3 linked regions of the Schizosaccharomyces pombe genome follow. The gene in region 1 interacts genetically with each later gene. Each region holds a gene or a part of one and is shown on either strand. Other genes may lie near its edges.

Evidence for each region.
Region 2: of rst2 (region 1) and cgs1, changing one suppresses a phenotype caused by changing the other (phenotypic suppression), as found in Schizosaccharomyces pombe (2 studies listed by BioGRID).
Region 3: of rst2 (region 1) and ste11, changing one suppresses a phenotype caused by changing the other (phenotypic suppression), as found in Schizosaccharomyces pombe (one study listed by BioGRID).

Annotation. Positions count from the first base shown.
Region 1 is NC_003424.3:1,306,562-1,315,525, forward strand, and holds rst2 (DNA-binding transcription factor, glucose starvation sensing, Rst2), read left to right. Parts: upstream 1-3,119; 5' UTR 3,120-4,418; coding exon 4,419-6,122; 3' UTR 6,123-6,868; downstream 6,869-8,964. Other genes in the region: AAA family ATPase involved in ubiquitin-mediated protein degradation Cdc48, read left to right, coding at 8-2,381; fsv1 (SNARE Stx8), read right to left, coding at 7,160-7,903.
Region 2 is NC_003424.3:3,641,194-3,647,667, forward strand, and holds cgs1 (cAMP-dependent protein kinase regulatory subunit Cgs1), read left to right. Parts: upstream 1-1,835; 5' UTR 1,836-2,045; coding exon 2,046-2,175; exon of another isoform or gene 2,176-2,440; coding exon 2,441-3,549; 3' UTR 3,550-4,443; downstream 4,444-6,474. Other genes in the region: DNA-binding forkhead transcription factor for ribosomal proteins Fhl1, read left to right, coding at 1-1,026; SPOM_SPAC1142.09 (uncharacterized protein), read left to right, coding at 1,305-1,652; SPOM_SPAC8C9.04 (uncharacterized protein), read left to right, coding at 5,082-6,474.
Region 3 is NC_003423.3:3,981,381-3,989,431, forward strand, and holds ste11 (DNA-binding transcription factor Ste11), read left to right. Parts: upstream 1-1,995; 5' UTR 1,996-4,205; coding exon 4,206-5,612; 3' UTR 5,613-6,020; downstream 6,021-8,051. Other genes in the region: serine/threonine protein kinase Ppk25, read right to left, coding at 6,635-7,906. UniProt on the Schizosaccharomyces pombe protein: Key transcription factor for sexual development. Activates the transcription of the matp, matm, mei2, mfm, ste6 and rgs1 genes. Binds specifically to a DNA fragment carrying a 10-base motif 5'-TTCTTTGTTY-3'.

The sequences.
Region 1 (8,964 bases):
AGCTCAGTACATATAGTGCAGAAGACACAGCAACAGCTATTCTTCGTAAAAAAAGAAAACCAAATTCTCTAGTGGTCGATGACGCTACCAACGATGATAACTCAGTAATCACATTGTCGTCCAATACCATGGAGACTTTACAACTTTTCCGTGGTGACACAGTTGTCGTTAAAGGAAAGAGACGGAAAGACACTGTCTTGATTGTTTTAACTGACGAAGAAATGGAAGATGGCGTAGCAAGAATTAATCGTGTTGTTCGTAACAACTTGCGCGTAAGGTTAGGCGATATTGTAACGATCAATCCTTGTCCAGATATTAAATATGCTGAACGAATTTCAGTACTACCCTTGGCTGATACCGTCGAGGGTCTTACTGGTTCTCTCTTTGATGTTTACCTTAAGCCGTACTTTGTTGAAGCGTATCGTCCTATTCGAAAGGGCGATCTTTTCGTTGTACGGGGTAGTATGCGTCAAGTTGAATTTAAAGTTGTTGATGTTGCTCCTGATGAATTTGGCATTGTTAGCCAGGATACAATTATTCATTGGGAAGGTGAACCCATTAATCGTGAGGATGAAGAAAGTAGCTTGGCAGAAGTTGGCTATGACGATATCGGTGGTTGTCGTCGCCAGATGGCTCAAATCCGTGAGCTTGTCGAGCTTCCCCTCCGTCATCCCCAATTATTCAAAAGTATAGGTATCAAGCCACCTCGTGGTATCCTTATGTATGGTCCTCCAGGTACCGGTAAAACTTTAATGGCTCGCGCAGTTGCTAATGAAACGGGCGCTTTCTTTTTCCTGATTAATGGTCCTGAGATTATGTCAAAAATGGCAGGCGAATCTGAGTCTAATTTGCGGAAGGCGTTTGAAGAAGCCGAAAAAAATTCCCCTGCTATTATTTTTATTGATGAGATAGATTCTATTGCTCCCAAGCGTGAAAAAACGAATGGTGAAGTTGAACGACGTGTTGTTTCACAATTATTGACTTTAATGGATGGTATGAAAGCTCGTAGTAATGTTGTAGTAATGGCCGCTACCAATCGTCCTAACTCTATCGATCCGGCATTGAGACGTTTTGGTCGTTTTGATCGTGAAGTCGATGTTGGTATTCCTGATCCCACCGGCCGCTTAGAGATCCTTCGTATTCACACAAAGAACATGAAGCTTGCTGATGACGTTGATCTTGAGCAAATTGCTGCTGAGACTCATGGTTACGTTGGATCTGATTTGGCATCTTTGTGTTCTGAAGCTGCCATGCAACAGATTCGTGAAAAGATGGATATGATTGACTTGGATGAAGATGAGATTGATGCCGAGGTTTTAGACTCTCTAGGTGTTACAATGGATAACTTCAGATTTGCCCTTGGTTCCAGCAATCCTTCTGCTTTGCGTGAAACCGTTGTGGAAGTTCCCAATGTTCGTTGGGAAGACATTGGTGGATTGGAAGAAGTTAAGCGTGAATTACGTGAAACTGTCCAGATGCCTGTTATGTATGCCGAAAAGTTTTTGCGTTTTGGTGTCACTCCCAGCAAAGGTGTTTTGTTTTTCGGACCCCCTGGTACAGGTAAGACATTGTTGGCGAAAGCCATTGCCAACGAATGTTCTGCCAACTTTATTTCAGTAAAGGGACCCGAATTGCTTAGCATGTGGTTTGGTGAGTCTGAATCAAACGTTCGTGATATATTTGACAAGGCTCGTGCTGCAGCTCCTTGTGTCGTTTTCTTAGATGAGTTGGATTCTATTGCCAAAGCACGTGGCGCTTCTGCTGGTGACTCTGGTGGTGGTGATCGTGTTGTCAACCAACTTCTTACTGAGATGGATGGTGTTAACAGCAAGAAGAATGTATTTGTTATTGGTGCTACCAACCGTCCCGATCAGATTGATCCTGCCTTGATGCGTCCCGGTCGTTTGGATCAATTAATCTACGTTCCCTTACCCGATGAAGAAGCTCGCTTCAGCATTTTGCAAACTCAATTGAGACATACGCCTGTTGCTGAAGATGTTGACTTGCGTGCAGTTGCTAAGGCGACCCATGGCTTCTCAGGTGCTGATTTGGAGTTTGTTGTACAAAGAGCTGTTAAATTGGCCATCAAGGACAGCATTGAAGAAGACATCAAGCGCGAAAATGAGACTGGAGAGGCTCCTGCTGACGATGTTGTTATGGACGAAGATGCATCTGTGTCTCAAGTTCAGCGTCATCATGTGGAGGAGGCCATGAAAATGGCACGCCGCTCTGTCAGTGATGCAGAAGTCCGTCGTTATGAAGCTTATGCCCATCAACTCCTTACCTCGCGTGGTCTTACAGGATTCCAGTTTGATTCGGCTGATAGTAATACTAATGGACCAAGCTTCGGAAATGATGGTGCTGATGATTTGTATGCATAGAAACTACCACCTTAATGCATGAATTCTATATCCGATGATGAACAAAATTTATGTATGAACATGGACTTGCCTTTTTGTTGAAGTCATTTTTGTAAAAGGTGATTGATTGATTGATAATAATGACTTCTCTGCTACTTAACATGAGTTTGTAGGGATTCTTAAATTTAGTCTTTGAATAGAACGAATTTTTTTTTATGAGTAAGAAATTCTTGAACGCCCAAGTCTAGTTTACTACAGCATACTATTATGTTGACTGTTGTGTTTAGTTATAACTTTTCGTCAGTTTTTGCAAGTGTAGAAATGTGCATTTTCACACGATTCACATAACGATCGGCATATAGATAGAAGCCAACCCGGAGATCCAAGTGTTAACCTAAAATGTCGTTATCGAAATAGTAGCATATTTGTATGTGTAGTTATTTTCAAGGTGAACTGCTACTATGCTAGTAGTGTGCTAGCGATGTTAAGTCTCTTCGTGGAGGCAACGCCCCGTTAAATCTACTGGAAGAGCTAAAACTGGGATGTTCCACTATCGACCACAACGAGTGGACGATATCTGCGAGCTCATGGACATGTTGTTCGGCAGATAACCGTAGTTTGACCCTACCCCCACAAAAGTATGTAATGTCGATTCAGAATTTCCACATGGTGCCTTAAGCATCGTTACCTGTGTTACCTGGAAATATTAGGTTATTATAAAATTTGTTTAGTCGCGACAACGACATGCATTAAACTGACAATCCTCCATATACATGAGTGAGATTGAAATTATTTGTTAAGAAAGAGTTTTGACGGATTCAGAAAGTTTGAGTAATTAAAAGTATCAAGGTTTTTACTAGAAGTCAGTGAAAACATTCAAAAACGATTAATCGTCGATATCCGGCTTTTCGCCACTTGACCAGTTAGTAAGCTTAGAAAGGAAAGAGAATCTTTTACACTAGAAGATTTTTACTTCTAAGTTGCAATAACTTCATTTATTCGAATTGTAAAATACGAGTTCACTGCAGAGTTTCAGATCATTGAAGATTATTGCACTAAAATTCGTTTTTAAGTGTTAAAAGCTGATTTGTTCTTTACAATTCGCATAGGATACACTTCATTTATCATTCAATTTTGGTTTTTCCTTTGTGAAATAGGAAAACCGCAAAGCGTTTGTCTGTTATTTTATATTTTTTAGTTTGGATGTATAAAATTGACATCCTTAACCAATCTATCAGACATTTAGTATATATGTTATAGGATTCGTTTTTTGTCCTTCACGTGCCTTGTTTCAGTTATTATTTGACTGTTAATTCTTTCTCCTTTCCTTACATTTCCGATTCTCCTCTTGACGTACATTGTTTCGACAATACGTTTCTTATTTCCTAGTTAGTGTCTAATTCTATTTAAAGTGTGGATGGCGTTTATCTTTTTGAAATTTATTTTCCAGGCTTTTTTTGAAATAGACTCTTCTGAAGTACATTAAGTTTTTCAAGTGTCTTTTCTTGTTTATCTGTGCTATTACTGTGTGCAGGTTCAATCGATTGTTTTTATTCTTTCTCTGTCTATTTTACCGACCTTCTTTCCTTGTTGTTCTTCGCGGTGGCTTTTTGTTTGATTACACTCTTTTTTTATCCCCTTTAAAAAAAAAAAGTTTGGCATCTCAACAGTTCTCCTCATATTTTCCTTCTTCAACTACTTTTCTCATCTCCCTGTTGTCCTTAAGAAATATTTAACATATTCTGTTGCTTTGCTATTAACGTTATTTGGTAAAATTATTTGGCAGATTATATCTTGCTTATTTTTGCCTACCTGTATTTCTCTGACAAGTCAATTTTGATTTATTTAGCTATTTCTTTTTTCTGACTTGTTGATAACTAATTTAGGATCTTGCATTTCATTTTCGAAAATTATTTTGCGGTTTTCGTTTTTAGTCTTTTTGAATCCTGATTGCAATCACTTTCAAGCTTTATTTCCCTTCATATCTTTTATTTTAACAACATATTCTTCTTTTGAAAAATAAGAAAATAATTGTTTAATTTGAAAACTTGTTTTATCATGACGCGTGAGTCTTTAGCACCGATAGCCTCGAAAGCTAATACTTTATCCGAATCAAAAGTTTCGGAAAACTTGATGTCTATTAATTCCGATTCTGGTACCTCTAATGCTAATACACCCAGCTCTGTTACTTCTAATTCAAAACCTGTGGCTTCTTCTACCGCTGCTAAAAAGGACCCTAATGCCCCACCCCAGAAAGTTAAACAATATGTTTGTGAAACATGTACACGCGCTTTTGCTCGATTGGAGCATCTTAAACGACATATCAGATCTCATACCAACGAAAAGCCTTTTACTTGTAGTGAGATTGATGGTTTACCTACAGGTTGTGGTCGACAGTTTTCGAGGCGTGATCTTCTACTTCGTCACCAACAGAAAATCCATAGGAATCCACAACCTCGAAGAAGACGTCGTTCAACAACGGCTTTACCCAATCCTTCTCTTTCAAATGTTTCGGTAAGCACAACAAATTTAGCTTCTAAACCTGTTATTTCTTTACCTCAGGCAGATTCCATTGACAAATTTCGTTATCCAAAGTTGCATGCCGCACTACAAGCGCAGCTTGCGAACAACTCAGGTTCATTTTCTGCAAGTTGGTTGCAAGCCCAACAACAAAGGCTGGTTTCTGCCGGTAATGGGAGGGAAACGGTAAATGCCTCTGCATCTGGTGCAGTAAATCCTACATCTTCTCAATGGTCAGATCAACGTCTCGGTGTGCCTTATGGACCCGACAGTCCTTTGTACTATCGTAGGGCAACCATTGCCAGCGATTTGAGGCCTTCTGTTTATCAACACCCGCAGCTTTATGACTTTAATAGACCTGAAAGCCTTTCAGGTCAATTAGACGATGAAAGTTTGGCTAGAATGCCGTATTCACCTAACGCCGTTTCACGAAATTACGCTATGAATATGACACTTCCTGAATCTATTCCTGAAGGGTACGAGATTGATAAATTGGATTGGATGAGTTTTAGTGAGTCTTTAAATCTTCCTACTTTCAATCAACCTAGTGGCCCATCTGATGTTTCTGCTTCGTTTCTTAATCTTCAGGCTATGCCTTCTCCTCATGCTTCACCAAAAGATTCTTTGATCAACAAATCAAATAGTTACTTTTTTCAGAATCCTCCTAAGAGTAATTCTGTGGATTATACTCGTCTTGATAATCTCGAACATATGCGTCAGTCTTGCATATCGCCTAGTGGCACTAATTTTTCACCGAGCTGTTATAGCCCTGAATCTTTAATGCAGCAACCATTAACGTTGAGTCCTTCTTCGATCCCTTCTGGATTGCCCACATATGCACATGTTAATTCGCCATTAGGAACAGAGCAATATCCATCTGAAGCTTATCCTCCAAAAGGCTATGTTGATATGGAAGGAAGAATATCAGAAGGCATCAAAGAAGAAGGCATTTCATTATCTGAAGAAATTACCGATAAAGATCAGGCCTTCGCTTCGATGGGATATTTTGACTCTTACAATTTTGAAGGCGTTGAGAATTCAAATTCATTGAACAACGAAGGGGATCAAATGGAGACTAATTTTCAGTCTGAGAAATTAGATAATTCCAATTCAATTCCTTTCTTTAATTTTAATTCATTCAATAACAATGGGGCAAATTGGTCTTCAGACTTTAATTATCCTGTATCCGAAACTTCCGGTTTGCTTACAGATAATAATCGGAATCAACCGCCCTCATTTTAATTTTTTTCATATCTTTATATTTTATACTATTTGTTTCTTAATGAAATGCATCTTTTAGTTTTTTTAAACAAAAATCAACTAGCTTTGATTCGGTTTTTAATTAATTTAAGGATTGATCTGAAGTTTTGAATATTTTGATTTGGGGTTCAATTGTTGATAGGAAAACGATCCTCTTTTACCGAATATTTAATTACGCTAAGATATGCAATGCTGAGAGGTTCACAACACATTAGTTAAGAGGGTTGCTTCTGATATTTTATTATCAAAAAAGGTTCAGCGTGATATGGTTAACAATAGCAACGGAGGCTTTATATTTAAGATGAAAAAAATGGCATTCAAGCACATGTTCCCTTAATTCTCAAGAAAGAATCTACTCGTTCAAACTTTTCCTTAATAATGATAATGATAACATGACTACGTATGTTTAATAATAGAAGAGAATATTTTTTAATGAGATGAAGGAATAATATAGCAAAACTTCTGAAAATAAATTGATACAGCTAATTGAAGATATTGTTGTTTATTGTTTACTGCCCTGAATCTAAAAATTTTGAAAGTCTAATAGGTTATTTATTCAAATGTCAAATAAGGAGTTATTAGCGAAACAAAGTTTGTAACAAATGGTTATTAAGCATTCACTCTGCATGCACTATATTCACTTGATTTAAGTCGTCAAAACTAGCTTTGTGAACAAGGGGGACGGCCCTTAAAAGAACACAAAAATGATTTCGATAAGAAATGCGCTAGCAGAAAAATAATTACTAAAGTAGAAAGACAGTCAATGGTTAGAAACTGGAATGTACGAAAAAGTTAATTTCTGTATTCCCTATAAAGGGAAGGTTCGTTTAGCAAAAGAAGTTGAAGATCACAAAAACATTTTCAAAATCGTAAAAAAAAAGTTCGTAAATATCACGGTTATTAAATATAAATAAAAGAACTATATAGCCTAGTTCAAAGAGGACGTGAAATAAAAGAATTAAGTGAAAGTGTAACAGAGTTACAGCAAGTACAATTGCTAAGTGATATTTATTTGCACCCTAAATGGAAGCCACAAGTAATAACAACGCACAAAGGAGCAAAATAATAAAGCATCTGGGATACTGTTTAGCCTTTCGGCTGACCTTGTTTAATCGATTTTTTGCATGATCAAACCTCCTCTCAATTCGATCAGCATCATTATTCATATTATCTAGTAAAACATTTTGTTCGGACAATTCTGTATTCATTGCATATCCCATCCGCTTTTGCCTTTGGACACTTGCTTCGATCCCTCCTAAAGATTCTTCTTGTTCGTTGAGCATTTGCTGATGCATTTGAGCCAAAACGTTTACGTTTATGGGATCAGGGTCATTGCCATCAACCGGATACATGGCCTCCATCTCAATATCAGATCCCTCACTACTCGAAGTCGTTTTTTGTAAAGAAGGAAGGGGAGTTAACTTATTATTCGTACTTGCAACTTGCGGGTTTGCAGAAAAGGCACTTGTTCCGTCAGCAGGAATTGAGGATGCACGCCGCTGCTTCTCAAACTCTTCCTCAGCAGACTCTAACCTCCTTTGCATTCTAATAAGAAATGCTTCGGATTCTCGTACTCTGTACTCTGGGATTTGTGCATTTTTCTCTAATCGCGATTGCTCCTCATTAAGTTTTTGCAATTCTTGCCGAACATCTTTCAATGAAGACTCAATTTCTTCATCGGGATTCTGTCCAAACTCTTCCAACTTCCTCCTGTCTCTTATTTTTTGTGAAACCGAGTCAATGATCAGAAGCAAATTTGACATAGTCGCTGGTTACTTTCTTGAGTAATCATGTTCATCATGCGCCTAAAAACACAAACATTAGTGAAGTTTACAGTAATACGGTGTAATGCCTTTGCTACCAATTCTAGGTTCAATTACAGTAAATTTTGTTTGCAGCAAAAAAAGAGAATCTTTTCGTATGTTTTAAATAAAAAAAAAAGTAAAAATGATTTGCTCATTAGCTGCCAGATCCATTATAGGCATCCTGTGAAATTATCGTATTATTAGAAACCTACTCGTTATTTACACAATTTTTTGAATGCTTCTTTTCGACTCTTCTGATTGTTTTCGGTATTTATCACAAATTTAGTAGTTCTTATTTCACATCTATTAAAAGGTAATCAAGCAAGGTGTAAGGAAAACTTTTTAATTATTGAAAGTTGGTTTGCGTAGTTTCAAAATTAATCAGATAAATTTATACAGCAAGCCCAGTATAAAAAGGGGCCTAACCAGGATTCGAACCAGGGATCACCTCTAAACTCAGCATACAAGTGGGGATTACCCGAAAGAGGTATGTTAACCACTACACTATTAGGCCTAGGTTTCTCATTACAAAATATTAATATAATATATATATAAAATAATTGCGACATAATAAATGTTAAGTACCTCTTTGCTCTGAAAACTAAAATACCAATAATGACGCTTTTCTTTTCATTAGAAGAGAATGTTTATTAAAGAAATATCTTAAAGAAAAATACTACTTAAATATTTATTTAGGAGTTAGTACACTAATTCCAGAGTATTAAATCCAAGTGTAACAAGGTAGGAGTAACAAATAGTTGTTTAATTACAGACAATTAAGTACAGTAGAAAATTACTCAAATATATACAAGGCTTTGGGCCGTTTAAAACGAATCATGCTGATATCTATATTCGGCTAATCGACTTCTTGCTTTATTCTCAGTTTAAAATGGAGTTTTTTTTTATAGCGTTACGAATTAGAAATAGATGTAGCCGTCTATCAAAGTTGACATTGCACGTGAAATTATCATTATAAACATAATCAAATGAATGGCAAAGCGATCAAAATAAGAAGGAAT
Region 2 (6,474 bases), 2.3 Mb from region 1:
GAATTAGCCGCTATCCAGACAAAGGGTATATCAGCTGGAAAAACCGAACAGCTTAATCCGCAAAAAGAAACTAGTCGTAGTAAAACTCATACTTCCCGAGGAGAAAATGTAGAGGATCGACCACAATCCTTACTTCAAAATGGCATTCAACCTATCATTATGCGCGATGGGAAACTTGCTTTGAACCCCGAGTTTTTCAAGAATGCAAATGGAGAGCAACAGGCTCCCAACGAGCAAGCCGTTCAAGCAATTTCACTACTCCAACAGCACATTAATAAGCAGCTAGGACCTGCCGCTGCCAACAACCCGGAGCAAGCCACAGCGATTGCGAATGCTCTCGCTGTGGCTTTAGCCCAAAAACTTCAAAAGCAGCAAACGCAAATGCAAGGGCCCCAACAAGTGCAACAACAGGCAAAGCGTCGTAAAGCTTATACTTCACAGCAACTTAATCCGGCGCCGACTGCAATGCCGCACCCTAACATAACATCACCGTCTCCTAGTATCTCAGTCACTCAACGTCCTGCAGTAAACGTTGGACCACCTCCATATGTTAGGCCATCTGCTCCTTCGAAGTTACCAGATACACGCCAGAGTATTGGAGACCCGTTACCCCCAGGAGCAATGGCTAATGTGTCCGCGGGGCCATCGTCAGTTCGATCATCGTCGTACAACTCCACTGCTTCTGAAAGCAAATCAGAGATAACAAGCCATCAAAATCTACACACCATACCAATAAACAAACCATTCACTTCTGATCGGCCTTTATACTCTTCGCCTAATGATACTTTAGAGAGAGTTGAAACAGGCAATCAAGGACAAAGGATGAATTCCATTGGAAATGCATCAAGCTTTAGTAAAAGAGATATAATGGAAAACGAAAATGGATCTTTTGATACTAATGCAAAGAACGGAAACAATGTTGACGACTCATCTTCAGTAAGGGGCATGAATTTACCATCAAACTCAAGCGACGCTTTACGAGGAGTAAAGCGACCGTTGGACGAGACATCATCCTCTTATACCTGAATTTACTAATGCTCATGCACGTAACGTTGTTGATGACTTCTTAATTAATACATTAGTGCCGAAAATTACACTTACCAGCATGCATAAGCTGTTTCATTTTTCTTTTTTTGACAGTGATTGCACAACTTGGTCTTTGGGTGGTTTCTACTTTTATTTCTCATGTGTTTAATGTTTACCTTAGTTAATACTTTACATAATAAATTGCCGTCTGGTTTTATTTCATTTAATAAGCATTTTCGTTTTCTTGTCGAAAAAGTTAATAGCAAAGCAGGAAGGGTATGGAGGATTCGCTTTTGTTATCTGTGAACATTAGCGATTCCTTATTTACGTTTTCATTGAAACCTTTGTTTAGCCAATACAGAAAGCATATTTACTTCAATGATTGTTTTTATAGCACTTTTAATAAGACCAAAACTATTATTGTTGTAATCCTGTCGGGCAAGCTCTCTGATCTGATAGACTTCAAAAGTTACATTGAATTTGTTTTGAAAACAAACAACTCATATTCAGCGATTCTAATTTCTTACTATAGATGTATATTTATCATATCACTTTTCCATAGACCGCTCACTATTCATTTCTTAACTAACTTAACTCACGGATGTACAAGAAGCTTCACAAAATAATATACCGAAACACTGGAAAACGCAAGCTATGTTGCATCGTCAAACATTCTACTCTCTATTTTTTTATGCGCTTCGATAAACCCCATATTATGGAGTCAGGGCATTGCGTAGTACATTTTATGACGTATGAGTGAGCTAATGCAGGCATCCATCCATTTTAGTCCAACGCCTCAGGTAGACTTTAAACATACATCTCAACCGTAACAAACGAAGGTAAATAACTGATTTGTATAGCTGAATTCAGCTCTTTTATTTTGGAAAATTTACCTCTTGTGGTTGATTAAAGTGTCAGGAAAAGCTGAAGCGAACAAAAACCGCGAGATTGTGATTCACTGAGAGTAAGAAACAAAAAACCGCATTTTTTGAAAGAAAGGCACGTAAACTTTAGGAGACATGTCTTTCGAAGAAGTATATGAGGAGCTAAAAGCCCTTGTTGATGAGCAAAATCCTTCAGATGTACTTCAATTTTGCTATGACTTTTTTGGAGAAAAGCTGAAAGCTGAGCGCTCAGTATTTCGTCGAGGTAAGTAGATGCTTCTGGATAGCTATGTTTAGTGGAGAGGAAAAGTAAATGATGGTCAATATGGGTTCTTTTTTGTGGTTTTTTACTTTGTTTTGCTCTATAGTAAGTATTTTCTAAATTTAGTCAGCAAACAGCAATTATGATTCCTGGCTGTTAATAATTCCACAAAGTTGTTTAAGGACCCTGTACCCATTTAATCTCCCACTCTATACTACACAAATTTTACCCTTTTTTGTTTTATCATGTTAACAAATTTCTCTTTTAGGCGACACCATTACAGAGTCTTTTAGCGACGGAGATGAAAGCGATTTCCTGTCTGAGCTCAACGATATGGTTGCTGGCCCCGAGGCAATTGGTCCGGATGCCAAATACGTTCCTGAATTGGGAGGATTAAAAGAAATGAACGTTTCATATCCGCAAAACTACAATCTGTTGCGTCGCCAATCTGTTTCCACTGAGTCGATGAATCCTAGTGCATTTGCACTAGAGACCAAACGAACCTTTCCTCCGAAGGATCCTGAAGATTTGAAAAGACTAAAGCGCTCAGTTGCTGGGAACTTTTTGTTTAAGAATTTGGATGAAGAACATTACAACGAGGTTCTGAACGCTATGACTGAAAAACGGATTGGAGAGGCTGGTGTTGCTGTCATTGTCCAAGGAGCAGTTGGAGATTACTTTTATATTGTGGAGCAAGGTGAATTCGATGTATACAAAAGGCCCGAACTAAATATTACCCCTGAAGAAGTGCTTTCGAGTGGTTATGGTAACTACATAACTACGATTTCTCCCGGTGAATATTTTGGAGAGTTGGCACTCATGTATAATGCTCCACGAGCTGCATCGGTGGTCTCCAAAACACCAAATAATGTAATTTACGCATTAGATCGTACAAGTTTCCGTCGTATCGTATTTGAAAACGCATATCGCCAGAGGATGCTGTATGAAAGCCTCCTTGAAGAAGTTCCCATTCTCTCAAGCCTTGACAAATATCAACGACAAAAAATTGCCGATGCTCTTCAGACAGTCGTGTATCAAGCCGGTAGCATCGTTATTCGACAAGGCGACATTGGTAACCAGTTTTATCTGATAGAGGATGGCGAGGCTGAAGTAGTGAAGAATGGCAAAGGCGTAGTCGTTACCCTAACCAAGGGAGATTACTTTGGTGAACTAGCTTTAATTCACGAAACAGTGAGAAATGCGACGGTACAGGCAAAAACTCGCCTGAAACTTGCTACATTTGATAAACCTACATTTAATAGACTACTTGGTAACGCGATCGATTTGATGCGTAATCAACCTCGTGCCAGGATGGGAATGGATAATGAGTATGGTGACCAATCTCTTCATAGGTCACCTCCATCAACTAAAGCATAAAATTTCTATAATCTGTTTTCTTTGAAACTATCTTTGTAATAATGACCTGTCATGATATGCTAAAGAATTTCCCTGTTGTTTGTTTGCCTTCTAACTTTTTCATATTGGTCATGCATGCATGTGATTGTTTACCATTATCCCTGGAATAATTTACTTATTCATGTTGAACATGTTTTGTTTGGATTACTTATCTAATTCAGCATTATATGTGATAATGTATATATACGTATTATTCTTTTTTATTTCTTTGAAAACCTTTATGTCTTGTTCTAGCATGGCACTGGATATGGTTTGTTAATGTTTTAATTCCAATTATATTCGTGATTACCACTTCACTGTTCTTATTTTGTTTTTTTTTTTCTTTTTGAAATTTCCTTTTTTTTTTATTATTTTTATCTGTCGAATATCGCAGCATTTGATGTTTGGAAGCTTACCGTTTAGTTTGTGTTTTTTTTTTCGTACGGATCATGACAGTTATTTTATCGTTCTCTTCATCCTGTTTTTTTTTGTTTTTTAATCGATATTTGATATCGTCAAATATTTCTATCTATATGGAGAGTTCTTATATTTGTTTTTTGAATAATCACACACTCTTCAAAACAGCAGCTGCATTCAATAATGTACTTGGCATTGGAGTAACGCACATTATACAAGAATTACCGTGGTCCGTAAACACTTGCAAGCATGAAATACTTAGAAAGCTTTAGGCAGACGCTAGACGTGGGGAAAGGGATGAAGTGTTAAAAATTCAAGAGTGTGGATGTTTTGTATGCAAACTGAGTGAGTTCTCGGTTTTTGTAGTTACGTGACATAACTTTAAAAATTTTATGAGAAATTGACTAATATCAAGAATTGAGAATAGTTTTTTAATACAATACACAAAATTTTTACCAAGTTTTGAGTAAAGGGGTGCAAATTAGATGAAACTACAGTCTGCGATAAACGATACGTGTAACTAGGAGAATGCAAATTGTGTAAAAAACTTATAAAACGAATATCTTGTTAGACAAATAAATTCAGCAAAAAGCGAAAGGACTTTTATTCAATTATCAAATCCGTACGAAATGGGATACAAAAAATTTTAAAGAATACTCAATTTCGTACATTCAATGTTCTTGCGAACATAATAAATAAAAAAACGACTACAGTTGCGAACTATGCGTAAGGTTTTCTTAAACAAGAAAAATTTTTTTCCCCATATTCCATACTACATATTTACTGTGAATGTTCTTAGTAGGGTAGGTTATTCACAACAAGCACAACGGGTAGAAATGACAATTACTGCAGAATAAAGTTAAGCACTCGAGATAAATTGTAATATTAAGAAGATGATCAGCGAAGCAATGTTTTGGTAAAGAAATGTTTTGTTTTGTGTCTTACTTTCGTCTGAATTAACTTTGTTTACATATGCATTTTTTCACTCACATAACAGGGTTTCGTATAAATTCTAGTTACGCCAAGATTTACAACTTCTACCAACCACCAAACAAGAACGCAGAGCGTGTAAAAGTAGAACAAAAATTGAGTTGAATATGACCACGAATCCCGATATTGTTAAACAGACGAAAAATGAAATTCACCAAGTAACGTCGAGAGTCCAGGAGAAGCTGGATTCGAAAAGTACCAACGCGGTCGAGCAGAATAACAATTCTTCCCAGGCGTCCGTCACCAAGGATAACAAGAAGAAGGCCGCTAAACGCGCCAAAAAGAAGGCTGCAAAAAAGAAGAAGCAGTCAGCAGCAGCATCTGCCTCTTCCACACCTGTGGAAGAAGCTCAGCACGCGCAAGAGGAACAACAAGAACAAACCATATTACAAGAGCCAGGATTTACACAAACTATAGTGGAGAAAGACGCTGATCAGGTTGACGAGCCTTTGGAACCCATAGCATCCTCAGCTCTGGGTACTGTAGAGCCGCCTACTGACAACAAACCCTCTGCCTCCACGTCAACAGCAGTGCCAACTACGGAAGCACGCAATACAAGTATTACCGAACCCGCCAATTCCCCTTCCTCCTCCTCCTCATCCGCTTCTACAAAGTCTACTGCAACCACACAATCCGCTGATTACGTCGTAGCCGAACATTTCGCACCCCAGCGCAATGACGAGCAACTCGGTAATTCCCCAGCTTCGATTACGTCTAAGCCAGCAACGACATCTGCTGCGCAACCTTCTTCGAAAGTAGAGGAAAACATGGCGAAAGCTACTTCACAACCCATTACTACCGCTGAGAAAGAAATTCCAGAATTGAAGCCCATTGAGCCTGAAGCTATTATGATATCGAAAGAAATAAATACTACGCATGATCAGGCAGCAGCTACGACAACAGCAGCAGTTGCCTCTGCCTCTACTACTGCCACTGCTGAGTCACATGCAGTGGCCGATGGAATTATGAATGATAACGTACTTGAAAGCATTGGTGAAAACGTTCAGCAAGAGACGGTTTTCGAGGATGCGAGCGACATTCCACATGCAGATGTCATCCCCCATACCACCACAGTAACGGTGGAAGAAGAATCGCCCATCGCCCTTGGCCAGGGAGGTGTGACGCATGAGGCAACAACCAGTGCTAGAGCTAGTGCTAGTGGCATTCCGGGAGCATTTGAAGAGGTGCAACAAACTGTACAGGAGGACCTTCCTCATCCCACCGCCGAAACGGTTGAAATCGCGAGATTTGCTGAACAACCCGTCCGTGCTCAGCAACCTGAGCAATACGAGTCTTCCGTTGTCCAAGAAGCTACTGAAACTGTGACCGATGTTGGCAAGGGTGTCTCTTCCACTGTCAAGAACGAGGTAAATGTCCCCTCGACCATTCCCACCGAGTCTGAAAACCCAGTGGCCGTTGGAGGTACCACTGCAGAACACCCAGTGCAAGAAGCTGTCACTGCCCCTACCGAGACTGCTCATGATTTCTCCAAGGAAACCA
Region 3 (8,051 bases), on another chromosome or scaffold:
CTCTAGAGCAAAAAGTTAATCGGCAAGTTTATTCGAGTAGAATAGGAAGAAGTAGTAAGATAGAATAGATACTAGAGGAGAATGGATATGACAATAAAATGGGTTGGTAGAAATTTAATAAGTTACGCTTGTAAAACACTATAGCATTTTTAAAGATACATATGGTCAAAGACACATATGATCAGAGATATACATATGATCAAGAGTCACCCATATATAGGATGGTCAATTTTTTCACCAAATTGTTTTTCTCCATTTTTTTCATTTACTGTCTATCCAACATCGATTAGCCGCAATGAGGGATTATACAAGTCAACAATGATAAGCACAGTTGGCTAGCAGAGTCCAGTTCCAAAAGGATGCAATTTTGGTGATATGTAAGAAAACATTCCACAATACAATTTGTGAAGTTTTTAGCTATAAATTTATCGGTTTAGGTTATTTTCAAAGTATAGTCGTTTTCAAAAAATTATATTCGTTTTCAAATTAAATTCGTTATCGTTCAGTAGTAACCTTTTTCATTCAAAACTCGTCTTCATCTATAACTAATCTACATCTTCATCTTCATCTTTACCTCTACTTTCTCCCATCTCTCCTTCCTATCGTCTCCTTCCTCTCTGCATCTTGCCGGCCGCCATTTTCTGACTCGGCGGGTCATCCACCTTTTAAGCTCAACCTTGTTTTGCTGGTCGCTCGCTCAATTCTTACAAAAGCCCAGGTTAATAGTGCGATTGGGTGATATGCAATGGAAATTAGCGCATATCTCAAGTTGTACGCACACATACGCTAATCTGGCGGCAATTCCTATTTTCTATTACATTGCATAAGTCAAAGCTACTTTGCACAAATTCAAGTAGCATTCATTTCCTTCTCTAAAATAATGTCTAGTCTTTGGACTTTTATCGTTTTCAATGGTTTTATTTCTTTTTTCCATTCCATTTATTTTTTTTTTGAAATTTTCACCTTTCTCAATTTATTCGTCGTTCTTTTTTTAATATAATAAGATTATACTTTTACAGCATACATTGTGTCTCACATAGTCTCTTCCATCGCGTTTCCCATTTTATGATCTTGCTAAAAAAATGTCATTCTTATGCAAATCACCCTGTACTACCACAGCACTTACCTTTCCGACATTCTTGTTCTCCATCTTACATGTCTATCACTGTAGCGATAGATTATTTGTGGTGCATGCCATCTCCAGGGATGATGGAAGGGAAACACAAGCACCCACGCCTAATTTTCGGTAAATTGTAGCAAAATTCCAATGGCAATGACTCGATAGAATCATTGTATGTGTGTGGTTTCTTTCCTTCCGCTCGTAGTACCTGTATTTTTCATCATGACTCCAAGTCTTCGCCATTCTTATTTCACTCCCGTTCCGTTCACCCCAAACTACTTCCTCATCACTTGCTTACTACTCAAACTGCCGGCACTTGTTTTCACACATTCGCTATGCTTTTTTATTCTTTTAACATTTGCTTAAACCTTACCTATAATACCCTGCGGTTTCGCAAATTGCCGCTCTTCAAATGCCCGCTTACTCTATTTTGCTTTCTCCACCCCTCCTTAACTCTCCAACTTCCCCAGCGTTCTACAATTCCTCATTCATTGGAAGACTAGTCGTTGGCTTCTTGTCATTTTGCCTTGCGCTATCTCCCTCAACGAAAAGTAGCTTTGCGAGACTTTTTGCCAAGTGCCACACTAATCTTTTGTACAGGGGGGAATCCCTGACTTTGTTTGCTGTGTTACATCGTTTGTAGGCAAGTAAAAGTGACAAATGCTTTCGCATCATATGTTACTTTAACCCCTGTGAATTTTGTCCCTTCCCCTCATACACATTTTGGCTAGACTTAAAAAAGTTGAATTTCTTTGTTTGATTTTCATTGTCAGTAACATCGCGTATTACGCCTCGCTCTATACTCTTACTAGTTGGTTGCCAATGCGTATGTATATATATATATATATACATACATACCTGGTGACTTACATAGTGAGAATCTATTCATTTAGCATATATTAAAAGGATATCCAGCGTTGAATTGTTTCGCGTCGTATATTGGATTTTCTTTATTATCAAATAAACAAAGCATTATTAGCATTCTGACTTTTCAATCTTAAACCTGATTGTGAATGCTAAAAGAAAGTATTTCATTTGATTAGTTTGCATTTTATTTTTCTTTGAGAGCTTTTGCCTCGTTTTTTTGTTTTCTCTTTGTTTTCTTTTTTTTTTTTACTCAACTTAACTTAACTTTTCTGGTCTTTGTCTTGATTGCAGCTTGTCGTCTTTGAATTAGCTTGCCTCCTCCCATTCTTTCCTGTCTATTCGTGTTAAGTCTATTCCTTTATCTTGGTTTGCTTTGGCTTAGCTCTATTCTTTTCTTTGTTTTGACTTTACTTTGACTTATTTTCACTGACTATTTCTAAGTTTAATTTGTTGATTAATTTTTATTCACATCTCTTCTTTTCTTTATAGTAAACAGACTTAAACTTTTTTTTCTTCTTCTATTCTGTTTCTTCATTTTGTTGGTCCAATTGGCTTCGCTTCTCTCTTCAAACTTTTCTCGTTTTTCTTGCCTCTACGTTCTTTTGGGATCCTCCTCTGTTGGAATTGTTAATTGAGAAGTGTTGGAATAATTTTTTCGTTTCTTGAAATCAAAAGGATTTTATCTTTTTTTTTAATTTTTACGTCGATTCCCTTACTGTACGTCGAATCCCCCCCTTTTTTTTATTTTTTTTCTACGTCAAAATTTTTTTATATATTTCTTTGTCTCTACCACCATAGTTATCCTTTATCAACTTTCTCTCTACTAATTAACTAAGTTGTTTCTTTGTTGCAATTTTTGCCCAACTTTAAATTTTTTTTATTCGCATCGTTATTCTATCGCTTGGCTGCTTATCCTTGATATCTGATCTATTAGATTTTCATTCCTCATTTTATTTTAATATCCTTTTTTTAACGTGTTTCTTTTGTGATTCCATTAGTACACACCATTCAGAATTAAGTTGCATTCACCATCGGTCTTTGTTGGCTCATGTTATAACATTATTTCTCCCCTGTCATTGTCGCATTATTCACGTATTCATTGGTATTCCTCACTTTATTTGTATACCCAAAGTTTCACCATCTTACAGAGCTCAACCATTCTTCAGTTATCGGTGTCTCTGAAATTTCTCCCTTGTTACGCCTTTTTATTTGACTCACTTTTCCGTTATTTAGTCTTCCGTTTCGTCTGTTTTTCCTGTTAACTATTCCGCTCTTTCTTGTTTTTAGTTTTTCCTCCGTTTTATATAGAGAAAAAAAAGCCTTAGAGGCTCGTGATTTTGTTCTCGTTTTCAAATCTCCTCAACTTAAAATTAGGCTTATAAGAAAATCACTTTTAAAGCTTCAATTTTTTTCTTGTGGCCTTCTATTATATATCACTTTCACTCCTTCTTCCACTTGGACCTCTACTAATTGTCTCTTTCAAGTTATCCTTGATTCAATCGCCTTTACGAAAAATATCCTTCATCATTCCAACTCGATCTAGTAACTTTTCAGTCTCAACTTTCATCTTTTTTTTTCTACGCTTCTTTACATTTTTCAAATCGGCTTTGAGTGTTGCTTCTGTTTTTTTCTTCTTGAGCTGGAAATTCCATTAGTTTCATTTATTATTTCATTACCTTACTTTTTTCGTTTAGGAAAAACCTGGCATCAAATATACTTTTGTCACTTTTTTCTTTTTTTTAGTCCAGTCAGTCTCTATTCATTAAGCTTGAACTTGATTTCTTTGGCGAACAAGCTTGTTTAATATCTAGATTGACGGAAATTTTATTTTCATTTATTTGTTGATACATACAAGGGAATTTTACTTTTACTATATTCATCTGTTACTTCACTGTGAATAATTTGTTCATTTTTCATTCTTGTTAGTTTGAGATTTCTTTCTATCTTAATACCATTTTTCTTTTTTTAAATAGAAAAAAATCCTTCACACCAGTTTTTATTCGGTGTTTATTTCTTTACTGTTTTCTGATCTCATCCCCTCTCCCTCGGTTTGTGCTGTTCGCTTCTTTTCTACTTCGTTCTTTCTGACTGCGAACTTCATTTATGTTTGCTTTGTTCTTACTGAATCATCTTTCTAATTAATTCTAAGAACCGTTTCATTTGTTTTATTTTCTCCCTTACTTTTACTACAATTTTTATATTTACTCTTCTCTACACAATGTCTGCTTCTTTAACAGCCGAGCAAAAGGACCAAAAAAGTTCTGTTAAGCGACCTTTAAACAGTTTTATGCTTTATCGTCGAGATCGCCAAGCTGAAATTCCTACTTCTAATCACCAAAGTATCTCACGTATCATTGGTCAGCTGTGGAGAAATGAAAGTGCCCAAGTCAAGAAGTATTATTCTGATTTATCCGCCCTCGAAAGGCAGAAACATATGCTGGAAAATCCCGAATACAAGTACACCCCTAAAAAGCGGTCTACTGTTCGTAGACGCCATAAAAAGGTATCACCTTCTTCCGGATCTTTTGTGGCCTCGGATTACGTTGTACTGCAGCAAATTGCACAATCTTCTAAGACTCTAAAACAGACCGAACCCGAAAAGCCTGTTAATGAGGAGGAAACTTTAGCAGCTTTATTAGCTCCCGCTCTTTCATATCCAAAGTCAGGTAAATCGAATCTTATTGAAACCAGTGAATTGTCTTGTCTTTCGTCTTCCCCAATGATTCGAAGTCATACAATTCCTTCCTTATCCTTCACCGATCAAGTTTCTACAACTATTTCTACATTGGATAAATCCGAGCAAGCTCCTAGTTCTTTGGGCATCTATTATAGATCACCCAGTAGCGGTAGTCCAATCGGGCGAACAAAATCTGTGTGTTTAGCTAATAAAGCCCGAATAGTACCGAAAAGATCAATGTCATCTGATGGCTGTGTTGACAAATCTTATCAAATGTCAAAAACACCGAGCTTGGAGGCGAACTTGCCTCAAAATTCAAGCAATTGCTCTGCTCGAAGAGTTCCAAAATTTGATTCTAAAGGAACCGTGAGTGAGCAAAGTAACTCTGATAGTCCAGAGCTGTCAGCCGATAAAGTGTTGTCTCATTGTAGTCCTATTGATGCTCGACCCTCAACTCCCTCTTGCCCCAATGCCAGTATATCACCTAAAACCCCGAATACCGGTGATCATTATGGTTTTGATGGAGCTGAGTACCTAGGAACTCCTCTCAGTGTAGGCAGCACTACTGCGTATTTATACGGCCAAGAGACCGAACTTTTATCTACGCCTTATTGCCATACTTCTTACCCAGCAATGAGTCGATTGAACAGCAGTTCTGGCTATACATGCGTCTCTTCGTCTAGTGTTACCAATTCTGGACATACTGAAAATAATACCTGGAGAAGCGACGAACAAAGTAAAGGCTTTGTTGACATTAATAGTTTTTCTCAAAGTTTGTTCTCAAATGGCAATTATGAGTTCGCCGCTCATTCTCAAGAATTGGATGATTTATTTTCACAAATTACGGATTTTACATCAACTGATCCTATTGCTTCCTCACTCAAAGATGCTAACTCATTGGGACCTTCTCTTTTAGAACCTTGGTTGCCCAATTCTAATTTATTTTGAAAATATTTCTATGCAAACATGGCTTTGTTTTCAACAAACGATCATTTTTAACGCGTCACAAAAGCATGCAGCTGATTTGTTCATGTCATGCTTAAAAATCTATATTTTTTTAATTTTGCATATCTTTGTTATGCTAGATGATGCCTTCCATAATTTATTTCATTTACCTTTTAAACTCTTTAATTATTCCCTTTTTATGTTTATTATAGGAATATGTGTATACTTAGTTTCCAAAGAGCACATTGGGCAACATTGAATAGTTGCCCACTAATTTTCTTTTTTTTTTAATTTTGAACAATGTCTTACGTTATGAATTGATTTCTTACATCTAATTTCCTGTCATCTAATTTGGGCCCGTTATTACATATATATTGTAGTTAAAAAAATATATATTATATCGCAACGTAATTTCTAATTTTTCTCTTCCATTACTTTCGTAAGAATGTTAAGTATATATATGTTCATTATTTTCTTTACGTATCAAGCAATCATCCAATGCAGTATTGTTATCACCATTTCACTAGATATACTATCGATGAAGGTTTACTTGGCACCCACACCTACTGGGGTAATGTAAAGATAACTCAACCAATAAATTGATTAAGAATAAAGGTAATTAAATTACCTGACAAAGAAACTTATAGAATTCATTCGGTTTCAATGGCGAAAGGTATCTATCTATAAATGTTTATAGCATTCGGCATTCAAATATTTCATGAAAAGCGACGGATTTAAAGAAGTAATGCTATCAAAAATCGATCAATTATATTTTAAAATTATAACGCAAGTCGTAAGAATCTTTGTATATGTTGGATTGCAAAACTGTATTATTTAAGAATGAAAACAAAAAGAAAAAGCCTTAACTCGTCTTTACCCACTAACAAAAAAAAAAGAAAAAAGTTAAGTTTAGAAACAATGAAACTCTTTAATTAAAGTAACGAAAAAGAGCCACAGGTTTTAATTAAAATGGAACTTCTTCGAAAACACATAATAAATGCTAACAAAAATTACTCCAGGAGGAATTAAGGTGGACACTGCATAGCAGTAATTTTCTCTGTCAAATCCATCGCACCCAGAATTTCTGAATGATGCCGTTGGTGTCTACTATATACAGGAGGTAAAGCCGTTGGAATTCGAAGTGCTGGAGCGAGACTTTCGACACCCAATAAATACAGACAGACTAATGAAGTTGTTTTTCTCTCAATGTAAGCCATGTAAAGTTCATGTTTTAGTTCGGGAATACTTGCTAAACCATGCTCATGTAACAGCTGTAAAACCTTTAAATTAAAAGGCGGTTTGAAAACATGAGATCGGATTGAAGGCGTTGAGGGAATAGAGGTTAAGGGAATAGGCAGATACAAACAAAACGAATTTTTTTTTAACCAGGGAAATTTTGCTGCTTGTTCTAAAGAACAGCGCTTCCGTGGGTTTACATTCAGCATAGCTGCAATAAGAGAACAACAATCTTCTGAAATGTAAGAAGGAAACTCCAGTTTACCCGACTTTATTTTTGAATGGAGCATAGGAACGGAAACGTCGTCAAATGGGACTCGTCCACAAACCATAACATAAATCACTACTCCCAGGCTCCAAACATCAACCTCTGGGCCTATGTACGGCTTTGCATCAAGTAATTCTGGGGCCGCAAAATAAAGACTCCCACAGTATGTACGTAATAAATCGTCTTTACTATAAAAATTACTGAGGCCAAAGTCAATTAGCTTCACCTGACGAGAATCCTGAGTTAAAAGAACATTCTCAATTTTTAAGTCTCTGTGTACAATAAAATTCTTGTGAAGATAAACCAATGCATTAATCAACTGCATAGCAAAACTCCTAGCCAAATCTTCATCGAGTTTGCCACGAGCAAGGATGTACTCCAAAAGTTGTCCTCCAGGAACGTATTCGAACAGTATGTAAGTACATGCAGGCGTCCGGATACAGTCTATTACCCGGCATATGTTGGGATGTCTCAATAAACGACCTAAAAGTGCCTCCCTTTGAACACGAACTGTCTGACTTGTATTATTAGGAGTAAAGGGAATCATTTTGAGAGCTGCTTTCTCTCCTGTTAAAATATTTACAACGAGTTTAACCTTTCCCATACTGCCAGCACCAATTGTTTTCTTGATAATCCAGTTTCCAACTTGTCGACCAGGACCAGCTGTGCCAACGAAATCAGATATAGACCTTTGATGTTTTGTAGACTGATTTATTTTTATATTCTGAGAGCGTTTAGGAATAGAGAAAGTATCCCAGCACTCATTCCTTAGGTTAGTTGTGTTCGGTTTCATCTTCTCAGCTGTAAAAGGAATTTATGAACAAAATTGTGCTTAAATAATTCAATTACAAATGAAGTTAAGAAAGGAAGAAGTAGTGTCTTAGATAAAATTATCATAAAAAGAAAACTCACTTCACATAAAAAGATATATTGTTCTT